Lepisosteus oculatus: one gene and its partners. The protein of the gene in region 2 interacts with the protein of the main gene of each other region in a pairwise test. Links are inferred from orthologs where the notes say so. Each region holds a gene or a part of one and is shown on either strand. Other genes may lie near its edges. The genes, in order: cox5ba, bhlhe40, aamp and naa50.

Region 1 (7,853 bases), on a different chromosome or scaffold from region 2:
AAGGAATATTTGTATCTGATTGACTTTCATTCAGAAACCCTAAAACGTTTGCCAGAAGGAAGAAGTTGGTATTCAGAATTGAGGATGTGGGAAGGATCTGATATAATTTTTTCTGCCTGCTTGATTTTGGCTTTTTCAAAGATTGTCTGCAGGGAGGGGTGCTGTTTCACTCCCATGACCTTCAAAGCTGTTTGGATGAGACTGGTAATTTGCGATATTAACTGAACTGATAAAATTACCAAACCACACTGTTATACCATATCTAATAATGCTCTCGAGGTGATGGGGATGAGGTGAACAGTATTGTGATCAGAGTTAGACAGGTGGTTTGACTTTGGCGGTATAGGCTTGTTTTATATTACTGTAGCATTTGTCAAGAACTCTGTTCCCTCTTGTCCCACATTTGATATGCTGTTCAAACCCAGGCAATGCCATCTCCAGTTTACAGTGATTTAAATCCCACAGGATAACACAGGAGCTTCCGTAGTCTGCCGGATCTGCATATAATAATGTTACAGAATTCTCTCGGGAGGTGGAAAGGCCTCAACATTTTAATTGCAGATAATCTTCCTCACCGAGTACTGTCTGCACTACATATCGTTCACAAAGACACAAACACCACTGCCTCTACTTTTCCCAGATGTTTCACTTCTATCTAAGCGAACATGGGAAAACCCCTAAATTTCCACAAGAGAGAGTCGGGGAAGTCTGCTTCTAATTAAAGTTTTTTTTAGTTTACAAAAAGTTTAGAAACAGGCAATGTAGTTTGATAATGTCCTCCTTTAAGCGAAAGCAGACAAAACAACCTTAAGGAACATATAGCTAGTAAACTTGCTGACTTATTTCACTGTCAGTTGTTTGTGATCAATTACAGTTATGAAAGCAAACATACTGTAGGAAAGAGACATCATAAACCAGAGAGATCATATATACTGTACAGCTAAACCCAGTAGGACATACTGGCAGGACTAATATTTTCCCTGCCTTCCCCACTTTCTTTCATGTAAAAGAAAAAGTTTGGAAAAGATTTGAAAAACAAATGAGAAATGTCCAACTATCACCAGTCTTGAGCTATTTCCAGTTCAAAGCGATGCCTGCTCCAGAGCGGCTGTAGAATACAGAGAGGAGTAAGACAGAGGCGTCTGGACTTACAGATACAGCCCACGATTCTCTTCTTGTTAATGGAGGGCACGAGGTGGGGATCCTGCTTGGACCCAGTGTACGCCTTGGGCTTGAAGATGTTGTAAGGGTCCTGAAATAAAAAGTTTCTTTAACTTTCTTTAGTTTAACCATCAAATGTTCATTAATTTCTATTCTTTCATTTTTTTAAACTACATTAAACAGGATAAACTAAGAAAGAAGAAAGAGAGCTGAATCAGTTCGTTCTGGATTTCTTAGGCACACAACTGGCAAGCTGAAACACATTTCGAATCAATCTAGGCATACGAACAAACAAAACTACCGATATATCCTGCTATACATGAACTCAATGTCTATATCTTTTTACATTACTAACAACATTCTTAAGCAGCCTCCACCTGGCTGGACATACTCTTAAAAGACTACCACTTCTTACTATATAATATAATATATTTTAAATTAAAATTGTCTCTACAGAACCGTAAAATACGGTCATTCATTCTTTTTCTTAAAGAACAGGGAATTGAGTTCAATATATTTTAAAACTATTACATATAGTACACATTAGGCTGTAAAAATGTTCTGTATTGAAAATATATTCACAACATTCGTACACTGTTCTTGAAGTTTATATTAAACATATAGAACTCAGATGTGTTTTTGTTAAAACCTGTTTTTTTACATATGTATATGGCAGCCTACCATTACATTATTATTGTGGTGATTACTTTGATTTACATCGTCGGCACATCAAGCTTTTCAGGAAACCGTCCTCACAGTTAAGCAGGATATACAGTACCTGTAATTAATTAATTCTAGCTATATGTACCCTGTGATCTCCATTAACCAATGTCCAGACAATGACAAAGTACATGAAAAGAGTTTAAAATTGTATTGCACTTTTTTTTAGAAAAACGCGACCCTGAACTTATGGGGGCCAGTGATTCTTGTAAAAGTGAAAGTGAAACAATCATGGCTTTTAATACAAATCTTGGTTTAGGAGTAATAAATGACACTTTAGAAACGTACAACAAATAAGCTATTAATAGTGAAACGTATTTAAATACATGAATAATCAAACTTTATATTTAATCCGTATGACCTTGTGCCCCATCTTGCCATGAATCTCTGTCTTATGACTATGCGCCTATCCAACTGATTTTATTAGTGTGGCAATCCAGATGACAATAACTATACAGTTTCAGATGCTCACCGCTCCTGTTTTCGATGCGTTGATAATTTCTTTCTCCAAACCGGTAGCCTGTTCTTCGTTGGTCGGAACGCCTGTAGATAAATAATTGCGCAGTTTTGGGGAAATAAAAAACTAATAAACACACTACAACGCTACCAGTTTTGCGGAGCAGAGATATGTAATATGATTAATTTGTAGTAAACTGCGCGTTTTGTTTAGTGTAGTTAAATAACGTGTAATCCATTTCCGCGTTTCACAAGCATTTAAAAACTACAGGAAATCATACAATTCAGTTATTAAAATACTATTGTCCAAACTCCGCTTGTTCACATTAAATTGATCTCTACAGAAAAAGGTATCCCATATAGATTTATCAAAATAGCACTTTGCTTTCTAACAACCCCCGAACTCAATGAGGCCTGTTACTACGATTGCCTTTGCCTGCCCTTGGCAGAAAAACAGCTTAACTGAAGTCAGCCCCCACGTCTTTGCCTCGGCGATCAAGCCGTCTGCCTCGCCATCTCTCTCACCTCCTGCTGCCATGCCGCGGGTGAGTACCGAGGCAGGGGCCGCCCGACAACAAGAAGCCCCACGAACGGCCGATCTCAGCAATAACCTTGCAGCCATCCTCTCTTCTCCACCTCAGATGAGAAAATACAGGAAAGACACTGACAGAGCGCCTGTGTCGACTGTCGCGGAGATATGACGTTGAAGTGCGTGTGTTAGTCACGTGACGCTGGCTGAAAATGCCTCTTTTTTAATGAGCTGGATGATTGTTGGACGAGATGTTTATGAGAGTATTACATTTAAAGAGAAGAGCAAAAAAACCTGTTTCAGGGATGTCGTTTTTACGCGCCTTTCCTATATCATGTAGTTTTTTTAATATCAAACGGTAGAGTTTCATAGACAAAAAGTAATACACCGTTATTGTGCTTCACACTAAGAGTCATAAAGAGGACCTTAATCAAGGGCACTGGTCATCTAACAAGACTATCAAGAAAATTAAGTTTATATAATAGAAAACATAACTCTTGTTTTCAAAGTGCAATAATTATGTAGTATCAGTTAGATTTCATACAAATAAACGTACTGTGCTGTGATGGTGGCCTACTTTAGACATTATTTTAATTGCACTTTGTTTATTGAAGTATAGGTTTTAACTACCAGGAACTACTCTGAAATGTATTCAGTCTCCTAATTCCCTGTTTGATTTTACAAAAGAAAAAGAGAGCTAAAATAAGTGTTAAAATGAAAATCACTTACACATATAGTAAAGTGTTAATACTGTGTACTGTCTGTGAGAAACAGCCTTACATTCAAGTGACAGTATTGTGTTACTGGGGGGGTTAGAAAGTAGGTTCATTATCCAAAGAGATGAGTTGAAGTGCGGTGAGAAATAAGAGTAGAAAGAACCGACTATAAAGAAAGTTTGTAAGGGCTCTATTTTCCTTACAGGTTGGTGCATACGACGCAACAGGGAATTGTCTCATTTCTTAATGAAATTTAAATAACAGCTGGCAGCTTATATTAAACAACATCAAGAAAGGTAGTAAGAACTGATAACTTTGGTAACATACAAGGGGTCATTTGCTGACATTATTGCTATATAGGGTAAAAATGAATGATCAGACAGGGTGTTGCAGGGGCTAACATTGCAGCCTCACAGTGCTGGAACCCTGGGTTCTATCCCTGGGATGCTAACTGTGGGGAGTCTGTGTGTTGTTCCTGGTTTTGCCTGGGTTTCCTCCAGGTGCTCTGGTTTCCATGCTGGTAGGTTCATTGGCCTGTTGGTCCTGATGTGAGTGTGTGTGTGTATTTGTGTCTGTGTGCACTCTGCAGTGCACTGGCATGCTGTCCTGAGTTTATCCCGCCTTGTGTCTTTTGTTGCTGGGATAGTCTCTGGCTCCCTCAAGCCTCAATTGGATAAAGTAGTTAGAGAATGGATGGATAGATATGCAGTATGGTGTCCAGGGCAGAATGACATTAACACAACAGGACAAAAAAGTATTCCAGCCGTGGATTCTCTCTCAAACCCTTGTTTCATTATTCCCACTATTCTTCTTTGATCTCCCTGGGAATCGGCTACAATAAATCCAGCCCACCTTAATCTGCAAGTGTGATCCTCTACCACCAACAGCAGCAAAAGGCCCACTATGTTGAAAACAGCAGAGAGTATGCTTTTGTACTTGATTGTGTAAACATTGGCCTGCTTCATGAATGTGTACTTCAGAAGGTAAGACAGATTACAGGCGAGAGGGGGCCACTTAGCCTGTTTAGCCCGTTGGCTAGTTAGCGGTTCACTGATCCAAGGCTCTCATCCAGCCATTTCTTGAAAGAAACCAGGGCAGCAGCTTCAAAAGCATCGCTGGGCAACTCGTTCCATACTCCCATAGCCCTTTGGGTAAAGAAGTACCACCTGCTCTCAGTTTTAAATTCACTTCCACATGATTTCCATCTGTATCCTCTGCTTTGAGTTTCACTGTTCATTTTGAAGAAGACCTCTGGGTTGACTCTATCGACCTCAGTTTGAGGATAGAGGACATAGATAGAGGACACCCAAACTTTGAGGATTTTGAATACGTCTGTCTGTTTCCCCTGCTGTCCTCTCTGTTCAAGAACAAAAATGTCAGTTCCTTCAGCCTGACAGTGTAGGACTCTCCCTTAAGCTCATATATCTGGTTGCTCTTCTCTGAGAACAGCAATATCTTTTGAGTAACACGGTGACCAAAATTGTACTCAGTATTCTAAATGAGACTTTACTTGTGTATTATACAATTTTAACAAAACATTTCCTGATTTACATTCTACAATGTAACTTTATATTCTAGTATTTTGTTTGCCTTTTAAATTGCTTTCGAACACTGTATACAATATATAAGTGGCATGTTAGCATAAACACAATTCTTTTCCAAAACCTCTCAGTTCTGTTGTGGGTTATTTTTAATTGACAGCTCAGACTAATGCAGAAAGGAGGAGGATTTTTTCCATGATTCTAAGGAGGAAGATTTTCGTGACAGCTGAGCCATACTTGTTTTATGTGAAAAACTATCCACCGGCCAGAGAAATCCGTTTCAGATTTAGATGTATTAACGTAATTTTCTCACTAGAGGGCGGTGTGGTGCTATTTAAGAAACCTTACTGTTTCACACTTGACAAAGCAAACAGCAAAGTACTGTAACGTACATTTTAATAGATCTAGAGTCGTGACATACAGAGACTGATCATAAATATTGACTTGTATTGAGGCATGATTTGTTTTATGATTTCAACAACAGACAACAGATAAGTCTCGCACAAGGTGCAGAATACATTTGGAAAAACATTGAGCTCTTACACACCAATTGCGTCTTGCACTCTTAAGAACTACAATTATTTTGGACAAATTCCTAGAATGGGACGTACATCCATTTATGTCCAAGTGACAATAGTGAAGGAATTGTTAACATAAGGTTCTTCTTTAAAGGCTCAGCTGTGCCTTTGTTGCCCAGTTAAAGGAGAACTGCAGTCCCAATTTCTCAGACCCGTCATTAAATGTTGGTAACAAAATTAATTGATGGTATTGAATGTTTTTATGAATTCTCAATTAAGCACAAAATTTGTGAAAGAACTTTGTGAAAGCAATGTATAGTCACCATATCGCTGCAAACCGCTGGTCTTTCCATGGGTGAGAGTAAGAGTTTGAGCGATTTGGGGCGTGAAGCAGCCCTTCCTGCTCACCAGTCCCTGCAATGACTAATGTAATGCGATGTATGAGTGAATACGTACAGGCTGTGCAGCAGACATTTCACCACAGAAATGGTGTAATGTGATCTGCATTGCAAATTTAACAAGTACATTTTATTTGTCAGCAAATCAGTTTCAAAGTCAAGACCAATATTTCTATTGAATTAAATAATATCCTTACACTTATATAGCTCTTTTCTGGACACTTCACTCAAAGTGCTTTACAGGTAATTGGTACTCCCTTCCACCACCACCAATGTGCAGCCCCACCTGGATGATGTGACAGATTCTTCTAACCCCTCTAATATAAAAATAGCAGGGCAGTTCCCCTTAAACCTTCTATGAGAGTTGCTCTGTAAAATGTGCTAGACTTGCGAAATCACTATTTATGGATTTGGCTTTCACTTTTATGCAAAGCAGCCTGCATTAAAATCTGTTTATACAGATGTATATTTTCCCAGTGTCTTGCTCAAGGGTATAACAGCAGTATCTCACCTGGGATCTGAACCCACAACCTTCCAGGCTCTTACATTTTAAATACCCCATAGCACAGTGGTATTTTCCATTCCTCATATAAATAGTGTGGTATGAATACCAGATCCTCTGTGTGAATGTCTGCATCAGCATCAGATGATACTGAAAGCCAAATATATCTTGCTTGTGTTTATTTCTTTATGCTGCATATAAAGTAGCTGTGTTTCAAGCTTGCTCACTTTAATACAACATGGGCCAGTAGCGGTTCAACGCAGATACAGCAACAGAGAATCATTAGGAAGAACACACACAAGCAAGAAGTGTAACAAGGACACACAGGTTACAAAACATTGAGAATGAAACCCAAAATATGTTCCAAGGGTTTGTTTAGGATTCCTCATCTGTTGTGTGTTTTATAATTTACAATCCTTTAAAAGAGCAACTGAAGACAGGAAATTGAGAGTGATTCACATGGGAATTATGTAAGAGAAGGTAATGTGAGATTTGGGGAAGATGTTCTTGGCACAACCTGCAGAATTTCTAACTGCAGCCTCCCAAGTACACACTTTCTTTAGCTGGATTTAGCTCAGGTCTTTTTTCTACAAGTATAAATCTTTCATGGGCCTGAGCTCCATGAAATGTGTGCATGGTGCTGATCAGCTGTATTGCACATGCTGTACAATAACATCTTGTTAGGTTTAGCAATTGCCAAATGATTTGGTGCAACTCAGCTAGGAGATGGGACATCCCCTTGGCTTTTGTAAGCGGTGTTTCTGTATTACTCTTTATCTTTTTCTCTTTTCTCTGACTTTCTAATTTTCTTCACCTCTTCAAAGAACAGTGAATTGGAGGATTGAGAGTCAATTAGTGCCCTTTGATCCCACTGTCTGTCATGTAGGTGTTCACATTTATTCCACTGAGGACATGAGAGAGCAGCTAAACCATTTCTTTAGTTCATCGTCTGCCAGTACGTTTTACTAACTGATCTCTCCAGTGTCAATTAGCCTGATTGCCTCTCTCGTCTGTAGTGTCGTTGTGTGCCCTCTTACCCCCTCAGTGCATATAAAGATGTTGAATTTCACACAGCAAACAAAAATAACCTCAACAAACATAAATATTGGCATCCTGTTTCTAAAATGATTAATTCAATGGAACATGTTAACTACTTCTAGTTAAAATGAATACTATTATAATTATAGAATTAGATTTAATGAGGTCTTTACAGTTTCAGAGGCTATGGAGGGAAAACTTGGCAAAGTTAAATGTGGTTCCCTGCTCTCTAAAGCTCTGTAATTTTCCTCATTCTTCCCGTATTTATCCCAGG
Region 2 (7,032 bases):
GCCTTTTAGGGCTTTAGAGTAAAAAAGTCCTGAAGTGTTTTTACACAGATGGAAAGTTATACATTTCTGCAAGTTATCAGTGATGTACATTGGTTCACAGAATGAACAGTGAAACACAAACCAGAGGGCACGAGTGGAAACTACAAAGAAGTACACTTAAAACAAAAACAGGAGGCTCTTCTTTACCCAGAGGCTTGTTTCAGTATGAAACAATTTACACTGCCATGTTTTTGAAACCGATATACTGATTTCTTTCAAAAAAAGGTCTGGATGAGGTTCTTGGATTAATTAATTACTAACTGCCAAATGGGCTAGATGGGCCAAAAGACTTGAAACCTTTCTTATGTTCTTCTGTATTTAATCCTGAATATGGTGACTGGACTAAAAGGCCATTCACATTGATGCCACAGATTTTTGTGAATGCTCTGATTTGTTTAACGTTTTTTTCAGATCAGATAATAAATAATGCATAAGGAGCCATGTAAAAAAAATAATCCAAGGACTAAATAGTTCTTTAAATTGTTATTGATAAAATAGTCCTTTACCAAATGCAGACATAATTACACTACAAAACCGGAAATCCGTGTAACGCTATAAATGTAAACCATTTTAGACATTTAGCATCATCACGATGCTCCCAAAACATAACTGCTATTTATGATAGTGTTATAAAACGTACAAACGCCATTATTTTTTAACTGGGTAAGATATACCTTGAAATACAGTTCTTTTGTCTTCAGACACCGTCTTTTGTACATCTGTACTTTTTCTTGGAATGCATTGATACCAATACAGCACCCAGATAGGGTTTACAATTAAGCAGACGGGTTTTTGGGAGGTTGGCTTACGTATACTGTACAGGTGAGAAACATACGGTGCAATGTTAGGCTAGGCAAACCTGCAGACCTGTTTTTGCGCACACATACTGTACATATTTTTGTCGGGAAATTAATTGGTTTCCATTGCATTTACGGGCATTTTGGGTGTTTCCTTTAAGAGTGCTAATATCGATACGTTTTTTTGGCTGATGGCTTATTATGTGATGCTAACTATTCAGCGCGCAGATGAATTATAAATCAGGTGTCAAGAGTATTTTTAGTTGCTCTTTCGGTCTTGGCACTCGCTGGATGCCTTTCAGGCTTTGCAAAATTGAGAAACGCTGCTTGCTTTGGATTTCATTACAGTCGACGTTTCCAGGAAAACCACAAGGGCGCATGAATGCATTCATTCTTTCGCTGGTTTTATGGAACCAGGCAGAACGGCAGCATCTTGCCGATTCGAGATGTCCACAACATGATGTTGCTCTACGTCCTGTGAAAAAGGTTCAGACACTCTAAATGGTGGAGGTATCCTGCTGCTTCGCGTCACTCTGTCACACTGGAGTTGGTGCAATCATGATCTCACACAGAGCATCGTGCTTTTTAATCTTTAAACAAAAAGATTAGAGAAATGTATTTTCCTGGACCTTCTCTAACCAGATCTGAATAAAATACATTGCAAATACATTGAAAGCATGCACATTGTATACAGTCACTGTACACAGTAAACGGGCATTTTCTTTACCGTCTTCGAATCGTGAATTTCAATGCGTTAAATGTGTACTAAATTGTCGACAAACCCCAGATTATGTTGGCTAGTAGTTTTTAACGGTATATTTTATTTTTTTTCCTGCCAAAGAAAATTAATAAAATGCTTCATATTAATCCTGGGGGGGGGTTCCTATTTGGATTTTCCAAACGTCGGATACCGATATTAAATTTATACTGGCATGTAGTACAGTCTGAGGAATACATTGGTGATTCATTACTTGTATCTGTTAAACTAACGGGGAATACGCGGGATTTTGTTAAAAATGTGATTAAAAAGGCACAGCTATGGATCACGTACTGTTAAAACTGGGAAAAATAGCTTCAACGAGTGCGCGCTCAGTGGCGACTTGCAGATTGCAGGATTTGTACCTCGTCTGTCACTGTCGGGTTTCCGTTGTACCAAAAACGGTTGTCGGCTGTTCTTTGGATTGGCAGCTACGGCACCAACTAGGCGAAAGCACGTTGTTTGCAAGGCGCTGGTCATGCAAATCAGCACAGGCGGCGCTGGCAGGGCTGTCTCAGCGTGCCGGGTGCTCAGGGTTTAATGAGTGGGTGACGTCAGTGGCAGGGATCTGGTTCTCCTCTCGCTGCCATGAGGAGATCAACGTGACTGCTGGTGGTGCACTGAGCAGCAAACCGATCTGCTACAGACACATTGTCAAACAGGTGCACGTGGATGGGCAGATGGAACCAACACGAAATAACACCGTGTCTGCATAGGTCCTACCCAGATAATATGTCGAGTAAACACTCAGGTCCCTGAGTAAACACTATTAAAATGCACACCACTGGGTGTCTGACTAGAAATCACAGCTTGTGTTAACCCATTGTGTATCATTCTCTATTGCATTTTTCTGTAGTCCATTCTGACATTTAGGTAGCAGTTTAGTGTTATTTACTCACCGGCTAGCTCTCCTCAAATATACATAATACAGACATTAACTAAAAACCGTGAAGAGTGGTGTTTCTGCCTTAAAGTGTAAATTGTGAAGTTGAGCAAGCTGTATTTTTAAATTAAAGCACTCTCAATTCAACCCAATTTACGAATTGCAAGAACATTTAATAAACACATTGCATTTAGGTTCTACACGGAGAAAGCGTTATATTATTCAACTGGAAATGTTTTCAAAGCGTTTGCCCCTCACACCATATTATAAAATATAGCTGAAAAAGTGGACCATCTTATTTTTCTGGTTTTGAGTAGCTGGATAGCTAAACCGATAAATTATTCTAAGTACGGTTTCGAGACAAACCAACAAGGGAGTAAACATAATAATGCATTATACGGGATTTTCTGCTTATATTTTTTCCATTTCAGAATAATATACAACTAGTTATTTTAATGGCGAATTCACATCGACTTGAATGTTGTAAATGGCTGTCGACAACAGAACACTAAGGTAAAAGAGAACGGTATACAGAGCTCACTTCAGCCGAAAGGATTAGATCTTCACGCAATGCAAGCATAGCCGTATGTGGTTACATATCATTTTGCATATATAAAAAGCGCAACTGTCTTAACCCGAAGCTTCAAAATGAAATGAACATCTCTGATCATGCTAGTCTTCAGTAACCTTAAAAGACCCGCACAGCTGCTAAATGAATTGCCTGGTATTCACGTTTGTAGCAGGAATTCGTATTGCGCTAAGACTAGGAGTCCAAAATCTTGCGTCACAGATCAGTTAACTTTAGTAATGCTGTCTGCACTGCACTGTGGTCACGGTACTTAATATTAGTTAATAGCATTGTAATTTTAAAAATTTTGTCAAGCACGATTTAGAGGTGAACTAACTATGCAGAAGACATTCCGTGGTTCAAGGTTGGCACAGCCTTGTCAGAATTATATCGTGCATACCTAGGAAATCCTAAAAACGTGGCGTCGCTGATTATTGGTAACATGACAAGCTCTATTCAGATTGCCGTGAATAACATCAGCGTTGGTATAAGAAAACCTCCACGAGTCAGAAATCCACACAGAGATTTTAATTAAAAATGCGGAGTAGCGACATAGCCATTGGAAAAATGTACTATGTTCGACATGTAGTTGATAAAATTTGAAAATAATCGCGACACTTCAAAGGCACGGGGTGAGGTCGAGGTTTCTCATTTTTGGAAAGAATATAAGTAGTGTCATGTTTACCGATTTTAATATTCTTTTATATGATTTCAACATTACATAGCAGCATGCAAGATTAATCGATTCCCTTTTAAAATCGGGTACTCTACCCTCCCCGATTTCTACAATGCCGAAAACCTCATCTGTAATGAAAAGTCTTTGATGCTCCGGGGATGCTGCTTTGTAGCACACTTAAGTGGAGCATGGTGGTACACGGGACACAGAAGTGTGACGGGGGCGTAACGTTTTCGTGCAGATCCTCCTTAACAAGGAAAAAAAAAAGGGTTGTTCGTAGTTCAGTTGAAAGTGCTGTCCAACACGTGAGGCTCATGTGACGGAGGTAGGTCAGTTACTGAGCTAGAGACGTGTCTGTAGTCACAGGGTTTATTTAACACGTAGCCCAATCCACCCACTCCCATACATTTAACCCAGCCTGCAGCTTCAAACTACAGCCGACTGCGCTTTGGATCGCTGGGTGATAACGTCGTGAGCGCTGTCGTTCTGCTTTTCAAGAGACATCGTGGATGATGAAAAGTAAAGCGTAGAACAATAAGCAGCTCGCAAAATCTGAAGAAGAAAAAACAAAACGTCAGAGCAAGAGCGGTCTTTTGATTTTTTTTTACTAAATCATATACACTTTTCATATTCAGTTTTGCGACTGAACGGGAGAAACGAAAAAAAAAAACTTTTGACTATCGTACCTTGTTTCACGTTGGTTTCGTCGTCAGAAAAGAAAATGGAAAGGATCACAGCTGCGCAGCCACCCCCTTGCATGACAAAACACACATCGTTGGAAATCCCTGACATGCAAGGGTATGTACGTGTCTATTAACAGCTGGTTTGTGCATTTTCCAGTCTGCAGTTTGTCTCTTCTTCTGTGTGTCGCGCAATTCGTGCAAGTTTGATAAAGTTAGCCGTTCTTCAAATGCAGACATCTTATTTTCCCCCGTTTTCATATTGCTTGTAGAATGGATTTCCCCATGTACGTGTACAAGCCCAGAAGGGGAATAAAGCGAGGGGAAGACAGCAAGGTACGAAACGCTCTCTCTTCTTGATTACAATTTGAAATACCTTTCTGGTGGATCTTTTATATGTCATTTGAAAGCTGTTTTTGTAAGTTAAACATGTATTTAATCGAGGCATATATCATTATTTTGATGTATGCTTATACCATATATGTATGTATTTAATGGGCTAAAAATGCAATAACGTAAATATAATTTTAAATTAAACTATGTAAACTTTACATAGTGTACTTAAACGTGCATACTTGAACAAGAACCTAACTGTTGATTTTTTTTTTCTCTAGGAAACTTACAAGTTGCCCCATAGACTCATTGAAAAGAAAAGGCGTGACAGAATTAATGAATGCATTGCTCAACTTAAGGATTTGTTGCCAGAGCACCTTAAACTTACTGTAAGTTAGAATTTGGAATAAAGTCAATTCTTTTAAATAGAAATCAACTGTGGTATAAAGCGCCATCTGCTTGTTGGCGTAGGGTTTTCTTGAAGGGCAGCTGACTTTACATGGGAAATTATCAAGGGAATGGATCAAAGCCTTTCTTCGATTTATTCATTCGCCTTGACATTACATAGCTTCTGCAGTTGTACCGAAAGTACCGAAAAGTTCCACAGGATAGGATCATAGGTGCCAAATGGCGTATTTGAAAATAAAAATTCTAGTATATTTTTTGATCGGATATGAAGTGATTATAGGTACGGTAATTGTGTTAATATCACTTGAAAATATGGTTATGTGGAAACAATATAAACACGGGAATCTTTGATATTCAAAGGCTTTTTAATTAAGTTTTAACTTGTTGATAAAAATGCTTCTTTTAAAATTACCGTTCGGTGCCCATCCTTTAACAATTGTAACGCGTAATTGTATGCACTTTGTTGATGCGTTACAAATATTGTACGATTTATAGTTAGAGGGATTCGTATTTTTACTTATTTGATATTTCAAAGCTCTTGTTCATTCTATCACGTTATTCTTAAACTGCTTTTGATGATCACAGGTTTGTCAGCCACAGTTTGTTACATAAGTTATCTGCGTGCTTATCAGACTTTTTTTATTTACAGACTTTGGGCCATTTGGAAAAGGCGGTGGTTCTGGAGCTGACCCTAAAGCACGTGAAAGCCCTCACTAGCCTCTTAGAACAACAGCAGCAAAAAATCATCGCACTACAGAATGGATTGCAAGTCGGTAAGTAATGTGCAACTTCAAATGTAAATGCATAGATTAATAGATAACAGCATACGTTTTTGGCTTTTGATTTTATTACGTTTATTGAAAGGAGTCTTTGCAAAGGGCGATTGCATGTGACATTTCTAAGCTGCTAAATCAGGAATAATATGTAAATATAAGCCTGTGCGTATCATTCAAAACGTCATGTCTGAATGGCAAAATTCCCTTGAAACATTCTATTCCATTAGACATTTTCTGCAAGATGAAATGTTATGTCTTTTCTCAGAACTCGAAATAGCTTTTCAGTAGCAAAATCCCAACATAAAAATTAAATGTTTATTTACTGAGTAGTGCAGTAACTTAGTGAATAACCTTTTAATACGGGATGTCTGCGAGCATCTTGTATTGAAATTAAGTTCCAGTGCAACTATTCTGTGACGGTCAGGATGATTAATTAGAAGTTCCTTCTTTTTTTCTTTTTTTTTTTTTAAGGTGACCATCCAGCTCACAGCCCTGACGTGAGCGAGGAAATGTTCCGGTCTGGTTTTCACATGTGTGCAAAGGAAGTTCTGCAGTACCTGGCCAACCAGGAGAGTGGACGAGAGCTGACCCCTTCCCATATGATCAACCACCTGCACAAGGTAGCGTCTGAGGTCCTGCAGAGAACACCCAGCCCCCGAATGGAGGATCTTGGCCTCAAAGCTCATGACCACAAAGAGAAGCCTGCCGGTTTGCAGCCCAAGATCTTCGAGGGTCACGGGAAGAACTGTGTGCCCGTTATTCAGAGGACTTATCCCCAGGGAAGTGGGGAACAGAGTGGAAGTGACACAGACACTGACAGTGGCTACGGTGGAGAGCTGGAGAAAAATGACTCAAAAATGGAGCGGCAGTACTTCGGCAAGGAGAGTGAACTGAAGTATGGCTTAGCTGACCGAGTGGCAGGCTCCATTAAGCAAGAGAGCGATGACCCGCCAATGAAAAGAATCAGGACTGAGTCTTCAGAGGAGGAGTCCCTCTCTGGCGGAGAATTGCTGGGGAATAACAGTGGCTTTCTAGGCTTTTCTCCACACCAGGCTCCGCTCTGCATGCCTTTTTACTTGATCCCACCCTCAGCCGCTGCATATTTGCCCATGCTG
Region 3 (7,364 bases), on a different chromosome or scaffold from region 2:
TGCCAATAACAGAAATTTATTTGGTTTCCTCATTAAGTATTTTCACAGATTTTATTAATTGGAATGAGATTTGCAATTCTCTAATCAGTAGTTACAGCTCCCATCCTTAACATAAAATCCTTAAGATCTATGGTAACTGCCCTCATGTCCATAAAAAACAATTGGGAAAATATAAAAACAAATTGGAATTGTGAAAACTATTATGTTTGTTTTATAGTTTCTATTTGTAACATTAATATAAATAAAACATACTGTTACCATAAATGTTCTATTTTTAATTCCATGCATATATTTGATCACATTAGACCAAAAACAAACTTTGTGTTTGTTTTTGGTCTAATGTGTGTTTGGTCTAAAACCTTGTGTTTAACCTAGTGCGTAAATATCCCAGTTAATCCCAGTGTAGTTTAGCAGTTTTTAATCATCCAAGTCTCAGTGTCAGTTATGCTGAAACTACTCAGAATTCAAAAATAAGAACATAACTGTTTTTAAATATTTTAGGTGTATTACATATTATTATTGGTTATTTCTGAATTAAACAAAAACCAATATATGTTTTCCTTTGCATTGAAGGATAGTAAACCCCCTTTAAGATACAAAACGTCACCACTGTCTTCCTTTCCTGTTTTAAAACTGCTTTTTCCTCAGGGTACAAAGACATAAAGATGTGCAGTTCGACACTTGGCCCACTTGAGACTAATAGCGAGACTTTTGCCCTGAATATCTTACCATCGGGCAGGAATTTTCCACTTGTGGCCTGGCAGCCTGGCCCTTGGAAAGTCTTACACTCCCCGCCTGGGATCTTCCACATCCACACGTTACCATCTGCTGTGCCAGCCAGCAAAACAGGGGCACAAGGATGCCATTCTAGCCACTGAAGAGACAAACAACCACACCGCCAAATCAGCCACTCGAACAAGAGGGAGTTCTGATAGCGGCAATGTGACTACACTTAGCCAAATTATTGAAAACTAGGGTTTGTCAGGGAAAACAAAAAATCAGGCAATATTAAAGTTTTACACCTCCACACTAAAAAGAAGTATTTTTCTATCCTCACAAAATATTTTGGAGGAAATATCTGAAAGCATATTTTAGTTTTTCTGTATAAGCAGATTCACACTATTACCAGGACTTTCCATGCAAAACTGCAGCTGAACAAGGAGTCTTTATTTAGAGGTTTAACGGTATATTAATACCTGAAGTGGTTAATGAAGGCCTTTATAAATTACATTCCGGGGCATTTGGACAGCCAGGAGTCGTTTAAGTGAGCTAAAGTACTCACCTCCAGATCTCCCACCTCAAACGACCAGACCTCTTCCTTAGTTTCCACCTTCCAGACCTTGATGAGGCCACTCATGTCTCCACTAGCCACGAGCTTGGAATCATGACTGAAGGAAGCACAGGTTACAGAGTCCTTGTGGCCTGTCAGAAAATGTAGTTTGGTGTTAATAACTGTCGTTGTACACTGAACTATTAATGGGTTCCTTAAATGATTTTTTGTTATATAGTCCTCATATAAATTCTGAGTGTGACCGCAAAAATAATTCAAATTCATAATAATGGCATCTAACATTTAAGAAATGCAATCAGTATCCGTATAAGGCAATGCCGGATGCCCCACTTTAAGCCAGTTAAGTTCTAATTATCAATCTGATTGATAATAAATGTAGTCAATTAATAAATACAATACATTTATACAAATAAGTATATGGAAAATCACCTGCACACTCTAAGACAACTTCTCCATCATTCAGCCTCCAAACAAAGGCTTTGTCATCTTCTCCACCAGTGACTGCCAAGCTGTTAGTGGCCGGGTCTAAACTCACACAGAACACAGATCCTGGAAACGAATATTAACATCAGTATTAGCAACGCATAACAATTACAGTAACAATAAGACTTCTATTTATTCATAGTTTACCTGGACTTATAAAATGAAAAGCAGGAGGTCTTAAAGCCATAAAATAGTGAGTAAGTCGTGTAAGGCTATACTTTGCTTTTATAAATGTCAGTTCAACAATGTTTCTATATACTACTAGGTGTCAACAGTCGTTTACCTACATTTCCTCATATCTACTACTAATAGCACAGGAACACCACAGTACGTCGTAAAACTATCGACTGTTTCCTCACATATATATCGTTCCTACCTGTGTGCATGGAGAAGGTGAGTTCACTGTCATCCTGTCGAGCTTCCATGTCCTCTTCTTCAGTTTGCCAGCCCTCATCATCTGCGAAATCTCCTCCTTCCTCACCGAAATCGACATCTTCAATCTCGTTAGCCAAGTCATCTGGGCAAAATACAAAATGAAGCCCGTTGGGTACCTCATAACCCTTCCCAGCATACACATATGAATCTATTAGTTTAAACTGTGACGCAAAGCATTTGAGAAAACATGGGCATATTTGCATTATGCATGCTCCAGATCAGATATATGTAATTGTGCACATACAATACGCTCATGAAAAATAAAATATATATGAACTACGTTAAAACCAAAGAAGCGTAAAAGGAAAACTGACAATGTATATATTCATCTACTGAAATTAAGAAACAATTTGAAAATCACTGACATAATGCAGTCATTTCAACATGGCACACTGAGTAGTATTCAGTAACATTACCTGGCGTCTGTTCCGATTCATTAAGGTCAATCACTTCAATGATTTCTTCGTCCCCGTGTAAATCTACAGCTCCTTCGGCATTATCCATTTTTCGGAATAAAAAATAACTGCCTGTTAAGAGAGCTCTATTTTATGAAAACAAAAACTTAAATTACAACTAGCTAGAGATATGGACTATAACACGACGAATATTACTGGAAATCACTCATAACAACATTAAGGGCTGATATAGCACTTCGTTATATTAGAAATAGTAAAAGTCTGTTTCCAAAATAAAAATCCATAACAATCTAAAAACACTAATAACTACATTCACACTCCAGTATCTCTATCCTCACGTGTTACTGCTACTATTGAAACTTTAGCGTGGAAATCTGATTGATAGGTTTCTGATCCAATCACAGTGCAGTGAAAAAAAGTAAATGTCAATAGCATTCTGGAATAGGCGGGGCTTCCTGTAGATGCAGCTAACGGGTTTGGTTGAGGTGAATAACCGGAAGTGAGAGCTTTATGGGAAATGAAGTGTATTCTAAGTAGCTATATGGTGAACAAGCTAAATGTTTCTCCGAAATTAAGAATGGTTGAAATATCTAGTTACTTGGTCTATTTTTAGTGTTTAAATTATTGAATAATTCATGAATTATTTGATTATTCATTATATGTCCATTTCTACATTTTTTCATTTGAATAGCGTATGCTATTTTAAATATAAAAATTAAGAGTCTACTATATTAATTAAAAAGTAAAGGTATTATAAAGGTACATACAGTATATTATTGGTAAATTATGGGAGTTGTAGAAATGATTTCAATTCCCATTGTGGGGTATAAAAATGCAATACTGTCCAAATATTATTCTAAGATATTATTTAGGCTTGCATTTTATTTCTTTCTGTTTTTCATTCACACATACAACATTCATTTTGATCATCATGTGATGTCTTTGAAAAGAATAATTAATATTTAACTACACTTCTGTTGCATTTTGTATCCAAAAGGGGTTACTGGGGCTACCACCTCCCTTAAGAGTACCACTCTTGCAAATTTTGCAACTCACAACCGACAACCCACTAAAGCTAAGCAGGTCAGGGCCCGTACCCGGATGGGAGACCTCCTGGGAAAAGCTAAGGTTGCTGCTGGAAGAGATATTAGAGGGGCCACGTAACCTGCGATCTGTGTGGGTCCTAATGCCCCAGTATAGTGACGGGGACACTATACTGTAAAAAAATGTCGTCCTTCGGATGAGACGTAAAACTGAGGTCCTGACTCCCTGTCATCATTACAAATCCCAGGGCGTTTTCCAAAAAGAATAGGGGTGTTACCCTGGCATCCTCACCAAATTTCCCATTGGCCTTTATGAATCATGGCCTCCTAATAATCCCCATCTATGAATTGGCTTCATCACTCTGTGTCACGATCGTAAACCCCTCCTCTTAAGGACGCTCCAGCCCTTTCTGTTTTATTCCTGATCTCCTGCACCTGCCTTCTTGCACCAGTGCTATAAAAGCCAAATGTTCCTGCCATTCTGGGCTCAGCTTTGGAAGATGGAAGCCCGGAAGCCCACCTACTTTTAGATCAGAAAACATTATTGATTAAAAAAAATAATAATTATGTCACCATTTCACTATATCACATACTTAGTTTTTCAGTTACAGCATGAAATCAGGCATTTCTTAAAATCCCTAAATCTATAAGACAATAAGTTCTCATTCTCATTCATAATAATGTTGACCTGAAGAATAGTCTATACAACAAATCATGTACTGGAGCACTTTTAGTAAATTATCTTGCTCAAGAGTACAAAAATATATTCGCTCAATTTGAAACTACAACAATTCAGTCTGATATCCACAGTGCTAGACCCTGTTTGTGTTTACTGAACTTCTACAGGGATTCTTGCTTTCAAAGTGATCACTACATATCATCTACTTTGTTTTCATAAAAAAAGCCAGATGCTGAACATGCACCAATTTATGTCATTGGAGCTTTGTATCATGCAACCATTAGCACTACACTGGCCAATAATTTTGTTACAAGCTAGTTTTTCCACAAGAAGAAATCACAAGTTTATACAGTACAAAACAATTGTTAATTTTTGGAGCCAATCAGTGAGAAACAATAAAACTGTAAAATGTACAGACAAACTAACTGACTTTGTTCCATTCCTTTGGAACGTGGCTCCACCTTTGTTTAAAATGTTCTTTAACAATAGTTTAATTACTAATATTTCTTTATTAACGTGCCTTTGCCCTTGCACGTGGTAATGTATATTTCATGGTAAGGCAATTTGAGAAATTGTTTACTGTGAAAAGATTTCTGCATAGATAAGTAACTCAATCTGAAATGATAGAAAAGCGAATCAAGCATTGACATTTATGATCAGGCCTTAACATACTTTAAGTGCAGATAAAAGTGGCATATCTCTTTTAGGTAATCTGTTTTAGGGCTATAAAACACAGATAACTAGTTATAGCCCAGTTGTTTTTTTTAATGCTATGACAATGCAATTGTAAAAAAAAAATTGCAGTGTGAGATGGTTTAAAGGTTTCACACAAAACGTAAGTTTATGTGGCAATAATAGCTAAGATTGTCTTCACACAGCAAAGATGAGGCAAGATGTTCAGATCCTTCTTCTTCTCCTGTTACCATGCACTTGCTTTGGCAGTGGGGTCCAAGACCAAGAAGAATTTATGCTCCTTGGGGGTCCCCTAACTAAAAACTTTGTGAATGCCTTGAACCGAGGAACCCTCAATTTTCAAGCATTGGCTTCAAAGATTCAGGGGGAAGGTGAGGCAGAGGTCTTTAATTGTCAATCCCCCCTGCCCCCTTCTGCTCAATACTATTTCAATTACCTTCGTTCAAGAGGGATAACTCATTTTAAAGTGATCCTTTCCTGGACAAGCCTCCTGCCTGAAGGTGATCCGAAGAATGCTCACCTGGAGACTCTCTCCTGCTACAGGAACTTCCTTGCACAGCTGTCAGAAGCCACTCTCAAGCCTCTCATAGTGCTGCACCATTCAGGTGTGCCTGAGGTCTTGAAGGCAAAACATGGAGGCTGGGAAAATGAGACATTTGTGAGTCTTTTTGAAGAATATGCCAAATTTGTATTTTCAAGTTTGGGAGGTCTTGCAGAGTCCTGGATAACATTCAGCAAGTTTTATGAGATGATTGAAGAGGGACACCAGAAAGATTCGGTCTCTTCCAGCCTTAAAACGCCTGTATTCGAAAATTCTTTACTTGCCCACAAAAAAGTGTACAGTCTTTACCACCAATTACTTTCTGCTAAAGGTAAGAATTCATCTGGCTCTAGTGTTAATACAATGTCATGAATATTATATCAGAAATATCCTCATTGAGGATATCAGACTACTTTCGAATTATTTCAGATGTGTAAACGAATGTATTTTTCTGTAGTTAAGCTCTTGTCTTACAGTCAAAGCAAAAATAGTTAATACCATTTAAAGGACAGCATTGTATAAAGGCCTATTGTGTTTTTATCTGAAAGTCTGTAGAACAAAGATCTCCTTGCTGTTAAGTATTCTACATTTTTCTATAATTTAACTTAAACCAAAAATAACTACTAAAAATGTATTTCCATTTAATTGGTCTTTAAACAGTCATAACTACTACAAAAGTTTGACTTAAAAGGGCAAGGACAATGATGTATCTGTGTTAAATTGTTAATTTTCCAATGAACTGATTCAGATTTTCATGTTCTAACAGTATGTTTTGTTTTACATGAAAAACAGAATATACCATTATTTTTTAGTCACAAGTCACTCCAAAGGGTTCTAGGAGAAACCTTTTGGACTACAATTACAAGTCATATCTGAGATTATTTATCTTTGAGTAAATGCAACTCTGCAGTTTTTATCTTTATTTCATAGCTTACAAAGGTCGAAATTATATAATGGATCTAGTATAATAATGTTTAGCAGGGGAGTTATGGGGAGGCACATATAATTTTCATGTTTTACCTGCTTGAGTACACTACAAGTGTTCAGACATACATTGTATAAAACTGTGAAGAGGCTTCTTATAAAGTGGTTAATTTACTATAACAATCTAAAATCTAAATCTAAAAGGTCAATTATGGCATCAGTCCTGCAGGATATATACATCAGTTACATTTTTTATTTTCAATTTTTTTGCCTTTTTCTACAATGCTCAATTAGCATAACAGTATGTTGATAACATGAAATATTAATTCATAAGCTTTGAGTGCAACTTGCTAAAAGGTATCTCTGATTTTTTTACTACTGCAAAAATTGATAGTGTTCTGGTACATTCATACATTCAGAACACTATCAATTTTTGCTAAGATACAATAATATTGTAAAATAATATTTTAGGAGTTTAACCCAGTAAACCTATTTCCTAGTATTCTTAAGATAATACTTTTTTATGTTTCTCTAACAACATATGCTCTTTTAATATTCTTACAGGTGGACAGATCTCCCTTGGAATGAAAGCTAGTGACATTAAGAGAAAAAACATTTTTTATCAAACTGACAATATGTACAAGGTAATGATGAAGCAGGTATTTAATGCAAAAACATGAAAATCTGTATTAAGTCTGATGTCCAGACACATTCATGAAGTGAATGTAACAGAAAGTATTAAGGAAATATTATTAATATTATTTTTTTCATTTAGGGATTTATAGATTTCCTTGCTGTGCACGTCAACTATGACTGTAAATTGGAAACAAACTTGCAGGTGGAATTTTTAAAGATACAG
Region 4 (7,796 bases), on a different chromosome or scaffold from region 2:
CCAGCAGAGCCCACAGCCAGGCCAGCTTTTACACCGCGGAGCTGGACGCACTCCCGCCAATGTCCATGCTCTCCAGGACTGGCACAGCTGCCTCCTCTCAGTCCAGACCGAGCCCAGAGTCTTCGAGCTTGGATGTGTTCTTCAACGAGGGGACCAAAGGTCATGGAAATGTGGGCAAAGAAAAACTATGAACCATGTCCAGCAAGTGAGCGCTGGGTTCACAACTGCACAAATTAGCACCACTTCAGAACTATCACCTCTCTTCAAATCCCAGTCCCGGCCATTATTACTACAGTCCCGTTCTCTTTCAAAGCGACGGCGTGCAGTTACGTTTACTGTTGCCTTTTTCGTTTTCCTGTTTGCACGGCAGAAGGTTCTGAGCCGGACCCCAGCTCACAGAGCAGTGGGAATGGGCTCCAGGCAAGCGAAGTCTCTCAGCCGAGTTGTCACAAATGAGAGGGGCCCAGCCCATTTGGTGGTTAGTAGGCAAACTGATCCAACGATCTCCTCGAGTCAGGGTGTTGCTCAGCCTGTTCCATAGGAACTGTTCAAGCCCCTTTGCTGCAGGATGCCCCTGGGCACCGCGCAGCGTCCACAATACCGCAGCTGAGCCGTCTCCTTCCCTGGCGGCCGAGATCTGAGGGCCGGTGCTGAACACCGCACTCAGTTCCTCACCACGCCACGGGCGTGCCGAGGGTCGACTTCCGTTTCTTTGTGCAGAAAAACAGAAACACGGGAGCAAGACACAAAAACAGCTGGGTAACTCCGAGAAAAAAAAAAAGACTTCAGCAAGCAGGGGGCAGCCATTGCTGTCGATGGCAGGGGGCGCAGACTTGAGGAGAAAAGTCTCAGGCAGCGAGCGAAGAGAACCAAGTTGGACATCCATTGCTCAGCTCAGGTCAGACTTGGCCCTTGTTCTCCTATTGAGCTCTGCATCAGGAACCCCCACAGGACGACCGCACGGCCGACGGGCTGGGAAGAGAGCTGCCCCCTCCTCGGCACAGGGCCCACCCGCCCTGGCTGGACCTGTGCCCCAGGCAGCCCCGAGCCCAGCGCGCGCCCTGGTGTATTTATAGGGGCCGGCCGGGGCTGGAACTCCATTTTTAAACCAGCTGCCCGGGTCACGAGATACCGCACCAGCTGGCGGCAGGAGGGCGGCACGCGGCGCTGGCAGGACCCCGCTCTGTCCAGGGCCCCCCGCAGCGCATGCCACGCTGCAGCGCCTCGCCCGGAGGGCAACCCGGGGCTTGTCCGAAACAAGTGCTTTGTACAGGGGCGTCGAAGTAGCCTTTTTCACTCAAATGGCCTCCTCTCTCTCTCTCTGCGAACTTCTTAATGTACCAACGTTTTTTTGGTTAATGAACAGGATGGGCCTCCTCTCATTTATAACCCCCCTCAGTGACCTTCAGTTACAGTCCAACACCTCAATCAAGCGAGCAAGCCCAGACGCACAGGCAGGATCGGGAGAGACACAGACACCTGCAGACATGCTGTATGGAGTGTCTGATAGGTCTGCCTGCAGATACATCTTCTCGCCTGCACTCCACTGCGAATGGGGGGGGGAAACAACAACATCCCACTTAAATTGGTTTTGCTTTCTCTTCGTGAAGAATCATGTTCACGAACCCCCACCCAGCATGCACTCGTCAACCAATAACACGGCCACTGAAGGCTCCTGTCTGCTGGTTTACCTCCGAACCGCCCTTTTAAAAGCAGCTTTTGGGTCAAAGCTTCACAGGGGCCAGGGAAGCGCTCCCCACCCGGCAGTGGGGGGGTAAACAACGAGACAGGTGTGGACAGGTGTCTCGTGGCGGGGGTGGGGGGGGGTTTCTTCCTCTACTGCTGCAGCGCGCGCCAAAAGGCGTCCCGGGCTGGGCGACCCCGCACGCGCCCGGACCCCCCCCCCCCCCGGATTTTACCTGTTGATTTTTCTACAACAAATAACAGTCGATCTACTGGTGACGCCCCGGGGCGGGGGAACGTGTCTTAACCTTTTAGCCAACGCAACCGTGATACACAACGAAGACGTCGGCCGAAGCGCTATTACACCCCCAAATACTAACCGACCTGCGTCCGATATCGCCCACTGCGTGACTTCAGAAGGGATCCAACGGACAATTGTGCTCAAACACACCTTCGTTAACCCATTTAGTACACTGTTTTAAGGATCTTTCACTATCAAGACACAGGCGGAAGAAAAAACACTGGTTATAAAGTTAAGGGGGGTGGGGGGAGACTTGAAAATTAATATTTACAACAGCAAACGCTTCTACGTTATTTTCATTTTAAAAAACACACACACACACAATACAGAAGGGATCCGATTAAAACAAACAGCGGTTTTGTTTTTCGGCCGGTCCTCGCGAGGGAAAACCAAAACGGGGATTGGGAAACAAAACCCCAGCGATCCTACTTTTGCCATCTTGGGGATGAGAAAACAGGAGCGACACTCGCCGCTCGCTAACCAGGCGCCCGGCGGTCACAACGCTTCTGCTGGCGTTGGCAGATTCCTGCTTCCCACAGCAGCACCAGGCGAGCATGCACACAGCAAAGCTCATCGCAACACCCCCACCCCTCTCCGGAAAAAAAAAAAAAAGAGAGAGAGAGAAAAGAGGAGAAAAAAAAAACTTTATCCGTGATGGGGAGAGAGGCGTCTCGGCGGACGGCGCCTACTCACCCTTTCATGGTGGACAGGAGTTGTTTCCCGGGGGTGTCGCGGTCAAAGCGGAGGGCAGCGGCTCGTCCTTGGGGGGGATTCGGGCTGAGTTCGGGTGAGGATTGAGCACCGCTGTCAGCCAGAACCACATGGATCAACTTCGCTCCCCCTCCGCGCGCACACACACACACACGGCTGAACTCTGACCCCGCTCGCTCCGCACCCCCCTACCCCGGATAAAAATATTGCCTTCCCCCGCGGAGACCCCAAAACCGCCTGCCCGTCCCCCAACGCCACCCTGACGCGGTTTGCGACCGGTTTTCAGTGCGTGAAAATATTTTGAAAATGGGATTCGATTAAGCGACGAATTTAACGGCTGTTTTTTTAAAAAACGTCCAAAGGCCGTGACCTTTGACTCGGGCCGACGTTGCCGTTTTCGATTAAAATATTTTAACGACCGCATTTAAAAAAAATAAATTGATTGCGAGGAAATGCGACAGTATGTTTAAATGTTAAAAATCATTTGAGTTGAACTGAAGGAAAATATCTAATCCAACAGCGAATCGGATAGATCACGTGACCAGAAATACACACACGTGCCCTCCCGTAATATATCTGAATATTTCTTTACGCAATTATGGAAATTAATGAACTAACTAATCTGTTATTTTACTGACAGGCTATCTATTAACAGCTACTGTTGGTATCTTCAATGGCAATTATTCAAAAACAGTTTTCGAGTATACTAACGTTATTATAAATTTGGGACGCCGGTTACGGGTTAATATTTTAAAAAATATTTTGGTAAGATAATGACTCCCTACATGAGACGCATATTTTTGAATAGTTAAAAGCTAAGTACATCATCCTTTATGAATCATAATAGTGTTTTAGTTATTCAAATTATTTTATCAAGAACTAAACTGGATAACACGCGTTCGATAAAGTTCCTCCAATATCCCATAATGCTGTTTTCTTTCAATTTGACGGAGGGTGCGAAATATATAGGGGAAGTGACGAAACTGGGCCTAAATCATCTCCATCTTGGCTCTAGAAACGGCTTAGCTTAGCGGTGCAGCCCAGCATCCAGTTTTGAGCCAGTATGGTGTCAGTTTCCTCTCCTGTCGAAGGGGTAGTTCAGCCTGCGGTGAATGAAGTCAGCTGACTCCCCGATCTCTCGCTTTGCTGACAAGTTCCTTGCTGGAGGAGGGAGAGAAAAAGCTTTAAATAATTTCGTTTCTCGAAGGTAACGTAACGGTATTTGACTCTTTAATCACTGTTTTGTATGTGTTTAGCCGGTTTTATTGTGTTGCTGCGTGTCTTAAATTACATTTTCAATGAAATGCAGATTGTAAGTCGGTAGCAGACCTATGCGCCGCTGAAGTGACAGGCTGGACAGCTGATCCATATGTGCAAAATAAACACTGCGGGTTTCTGATGTGAATAAATTAAAACAATTTTCATTTCACGCTTCGTGCGGCAGTACTGTCACAGGCCTTCGTTTTTGTTTTTTTCTTTTAGCTGTCGAAACCGTCCTCGGCCACCATTGCACTGTACGGCAGTTGTGAAAAAAATAATTGAAAACAAAATGCAACATCGGTCCTTCAGTCGTATTAAAACATCCTAACCGTACTGTAGTCCAGTAAGCGTCTGAATTATTAGCAGACACTCTTCCATATCGGCTAGCATGTTGTGCTCGTCAGATGGAGACTCGGTGTGATATACCGTATTATGAAATAATTTTAGATTACGCTTTTTCGATGAACGCTAATATCTGAGCGATCACAATTACAGAGCCGATCGTATTTTTGAAGTGTCAAGATGCGAGTTCACTGCGCAACAGAGGTTTGTTCGTGGGTGCAAACGTGTTTTCGGACGCATTGCTGGTAAATACCGCTGGGCTTGCCAGGGGTCGTGTAGGTTTCAGTTTTAGAGGAATAGGAATAATTGCAATGCGGAAAGATGTCTCAAGTTAAGAATGTGTTGCGTGTTTACGTCGATGGAGGATAGCTAACGTATCCTGACGGGTATTGCTGAGACGAAGTACCCTAGACTAGATTTTGTTGAACGGATTCAGACCTCAGAGGTATCGGCCTGTTTTACGGGACTGAACTGTAGCGGTGACCGTCTCATTCCCCGTCTATGCATTTAGTTGCCTTCGCTCTGTCGGAGGGTTGGCTCGTCTTAACAAATGTGTATTAGACACGATCGACACGTCATGTGATCGAGTCAGCAGACCGGGCGAAATTTTCCGAAGGGCGCTCAGCATCTTTATGGGGTGTCTGGAGTGGGGCTGGGTGTACAGTTGCTGCGTAACAGATATATGGGGGTCCATCACATGCCGGGCGGTATCAGAACTGCATTCCCCTAAAATGTATTCTATGATCTGACGTAGAAAACGGAGTGATCTATTATGAATGATGTATTGTATTGTAGTCCATTTGTATCATCTGATCGGTCTAGCAGTTTTGTCATTTTGTTTTACATAAAAGTGGTGTGGATATTGTAAGGGTGATGTGCCCCGAGTATGGTCTTCCATTCCGGGTGATGCAGGATAAGGCAGGGGTTCCCAGCTTTGCTTTTGGGGTTCCCCCACTCCTGCTGGCTTTCTTTCCAGATGGGCTCTTGTTGGCACAGTAGGACCCTTGCTGTAATAGTAGAACTCATTGAAACTCTTTGACTTGGCAAACAGGAGTGCCTGCTGTTCTTCGTCTCCAATGCACTGGCCTCTAGTTCCTGTTTCACTGCTCGTTCAGAAGAGGCCGACTGGGCTGACTTTGTCTGTGCCCTTGAGGACCCTCAATACTCCCTTGAGTCACCTGCCCTGTTCATTTCATTTGGCGATGGTTCACCATCGCTGACGGCAAGCTGGACAGAGGCTTGGAGGTGTCCATTGAGCCTCGTGCGCTGTGACGCAGCGGGACTGTGAGCTCCAGAGTGACAGAACCTCGGCTGGGTGGGTTTGTGGTAGGGGAGCACAGCGGTGAGTCAGTCTCACGACGAACCTAATTTCAGAACCTGCATTGCAACGAGCCAGTGCCTTTTTTTATATAGGAATGCTTCAAGAGCATGTGCTTACTACCCTCCTGTGAATGAAGTATGAGCAGTTTTCAGGGATGGGTCAAAGATCCCGATTTTAATTTTACACTTTTGGCACTACTGTGCTTTGATGTGGAGTGTTAGTGAACTTGGTGGGTTTGACGGAAGATCAGTGGAAACTGTCTGTAAGTGAGTCATAACCGTGAATGAGAAGGTGACTCTGATGCATTGTTCCATTTTGGAAGTTCCTTTAATGTTTCTTTCTTTTATAGCATGATCCTATGCAGTTGTTCCACTGTCATGTAATCGCTACCTTGTGATTCAGTGCATAGGTCTGGGTTGGATAAACAAAGGTCCCCCTTTAGGTCTAATGATGGCCCGAGGGGTCCAAAGCTGCTGGCTGGTGTCCTGCACATGTTCATCTGCACCAGATTGTATTTGTGCCGCAAAATCTGCGCAAACATGCTGATCTTGGGCAAAGCCTCCAAGTAAACGTCTTATGAGGTGCTTAACAAAACAGACAACAATACTGTACCAACGGCCAAGTTGAGTGAAGACTGTGTCCAGACCCCTGCCCAGATCAGATTATCAGTGGTTGAACGTGCAGCCCAACCACAGATACTGACCAGTCAGAGCCAGAGGAGGTCACGTGACCGTGCCTGATCACACAGCTGCACCGGGAGGGGGGAGGGTGCCACATTGAGAGCCGAGCAGTGAGACGTTTTTCCCAAAGCCCCTTACTGTCGATCAGTTCATTATTCGTTCAGCTGGAGCCCACATCAGGGGGTCGGTCTCCACACGGGTGAGCGTAAATCATGCAGGCTGTCCATCCAGCAGCCCAGCCAGTGCGTTGGCAATGCCAAATCTCAACTTCAAATCTCTGCGTGGCTTTCATTTCAGCTCTCTTCACGCAAAGAGCTGTGTAGCAGGAGCCCTGTAGCACAATGGATAGGTACAGTACAGCAGGAAACCAGTGTTAGGTACCGTGACACTTCATTCTCGCACAGGTCTTCTGTGCAGCAGGTACGTCGTTGGTAAAATAACAAATCTGTTTTGCATGTTCTTTCCATGTTTACGTTGTTTTTTTTTCTCCAGTGCCTGACTTCCTCCTTCCTTCCAAAGTCACCCTGACCTGTGTAACTGGTTCCTGTAAGTTGTGCCCCCTGTGCACACGTGTGTGTCCCCTTCGCGTGGTCCTGCCCTGTGCCCTTGGCACTGGGATATACGCAGGGTTGCCACAACCCTGGCCAGGAATAAACTGCTTTTTGCAAAAACATAGACAGATAGACAGTAAAGTGACCTCACTTGAGGAAGGAGAGGAAGTGCTGGTATTTCTGAACACATGTTGTCCAGAGTTGTAATGCATGTAGTGGCAGGTCAGGTATATAACAAAGAGGTCAGCTTCCTGATCCTCCGCTAGCTCATCGAGTGCGGCAGGGTGGATGGAGAAATGGCTGTGACGGGTTCTTGTAATGGATTGCAGTCCAGGAAGTGCAGGCTTGCATGTGGCAACATGGGGAAATCTGTCCTTAATCAGGACTTTCTGTTCTCTTTTGTCATCAGTTGTCTGCCGAGCTGTGGTAACTGTTGTTGTTCTTTTTGCAGTTTTAACAGATATGACCAGGCATGCCTGTGAAGGTGTGAAGGATCAATTGGGCTGTTCTGCTTAATGAAGGCTTCTCTTCTTGTGAGTTGTAGGCAGGGAAAGAAAAGAATGTCCCGGTCCGAGTGTGGCAGTACTGTGGAAGGGGGTGTGTAGAAAGAGGGGTGATTCTCTTGTGCTTTAGGTATCGTGCCTGCAGGGGTCACAGCCCCTCCTAGATTTCATTCCAGCCCTTCTTTGAAAAATGGTCGTTTTATAGCGTTTCTCATCCCTAGGCGTTTGAAAGCTCTCTACAAAATGGTGGGGTCCACCTCATCCACCATTAAAGTACAGTTCCCATGTGGTTGGCGTCTGCATCTTACCAACACAGAAGATCAGGTGGAGGAGCGAGAAACTGCTCCTCCAGTTGAACTAGGAGTAAAATCTAAGGACAGGTTGTACAGGTCCAGACTGGAGTTGAGCCAGAGTACCAGGGTTAATGACCCTTTATGAATTTTA

Evidence for each region.
Region 1: the proteins of bhlhe40 (region 2) and cox5ba interact in binary tests that used the Homo sapiens proteins (3 or more experiments, as listed by UniProt). The two-hybrid records come from large-scale screens. The link is inferred for Lepisosteus oculatus from reciprocal best matches to the Homo sapiens genes BHLHE40 and COX5B.
Region 3: the proteins of bhlhe40 (region 2) and aamp interact in a two-hybrid assay, tested with the Homo sapiens proteins (2 studies listed by BioGRID and IntAct). The link is inferred for Lepisosteus oculatus from reciprocal best matches to the Homo sapiens genes BHLHE40 and AAMP.
Region 4: the proteins of bhlhe40 (region 2) and naa50 interact in binary tests that used the Homo sapiens proteins (3 or more experiments, as listed by UniProt). The two-hybrid records come from large-scale screens. The link is inferred for Lepisosteus oculatus from reciprocal best matches to the Homo sapiens genes BHLHE40 and NAA50.

The regions. Positions count from the first base shown.
Region 1 is NC_090697.1:71,875,895-71,883,747, forward strand, and holds the start of cox5ba (cytochrome c oxidase subunit 5B, mitochondrial), read right to left. Parts: upstream 3,020-7,853; 5' UTR 2,960-3,019; coding exon 2,863-2,959; intron 2,425-2,862; coding exon 2,354-2,424; intron 1,253-2,353; coding exon 1,153-1,252; intron 1-1,152. UniProt on the Homo sapiens protein: Component of the cytochrome c oxidase, the last enzyme in the mitochondrial electron transport chain which drives oxidative phosphorylation.
Region 2 is NC_090699.1:54,736,381-54,743,412, reverse strand, and holds the start of bhlhe40 (class E basic helix-loop-helix protein 40), read left to right. Parts: upstream 1-4,018; 5' UTR 4,019-4,441; coding exon 4,442-4,518; intron 4,519-4,672; coding exon 4,673-4,736; intron 4,737-5,014; coding exon 5,015-5,122; intron 5,123-5,790; coding exon 5,791-5,914; intron 5,915-6,388; coding exon 6,389-7,032. UniProt on the Homo sapiens protein: Transcriptional repressor involved in the regulation of the circadian rhythm by negatively regulating the activity of the clock genes and clock-controlled genes.
Region 3 is NC_090707.1:22,069,759-22,077,122, reverse strand, and holds the start of aamp (angio-associated migratory cell protein), read right to left. Parts: upstream 3,002-7,364; 5' UTR 2,714-3,001; coding exon 2,626-2,713; intron 2,292-2,625; coding exon 2,151-2,291; intron 1,841-2,150; coding exon 1,721-1,840; intron 1,423-1,720; coding exon 1,283-1,422; intron 875-1,282; coding exon 730-874; intron 1-729. Other genes in the region: lactase/phlorizin hydrolase, read left to right, coding at 5,231-5,912, 7,070-7,149, 7,281-7,364. UniProt on the Homo sapiens protein: Plays a role in angiogenesis and cell migration. In smooth muscle cell migration, may act through the RhoA pathway.
Region 4 is NC_090700.1:4,084,615-4,092,410, forward strand, and holds the start of naa50 (N-alpha-acetyltransferase 50), read right to left. Parts: upstream 3,009-7,796; 5' UTR 2,686-3,008; coding exon 2,678-2,685; intron 1-2,677. UniProt on the Homo sapiens protein: N-alpha-acetyltransferase that acetylates the N-terminus of proteins that retain their initiating methionine. Has a broad substrate specificity: able to acetylate the initiator methionine of most peptides, except for those with a proline in second position.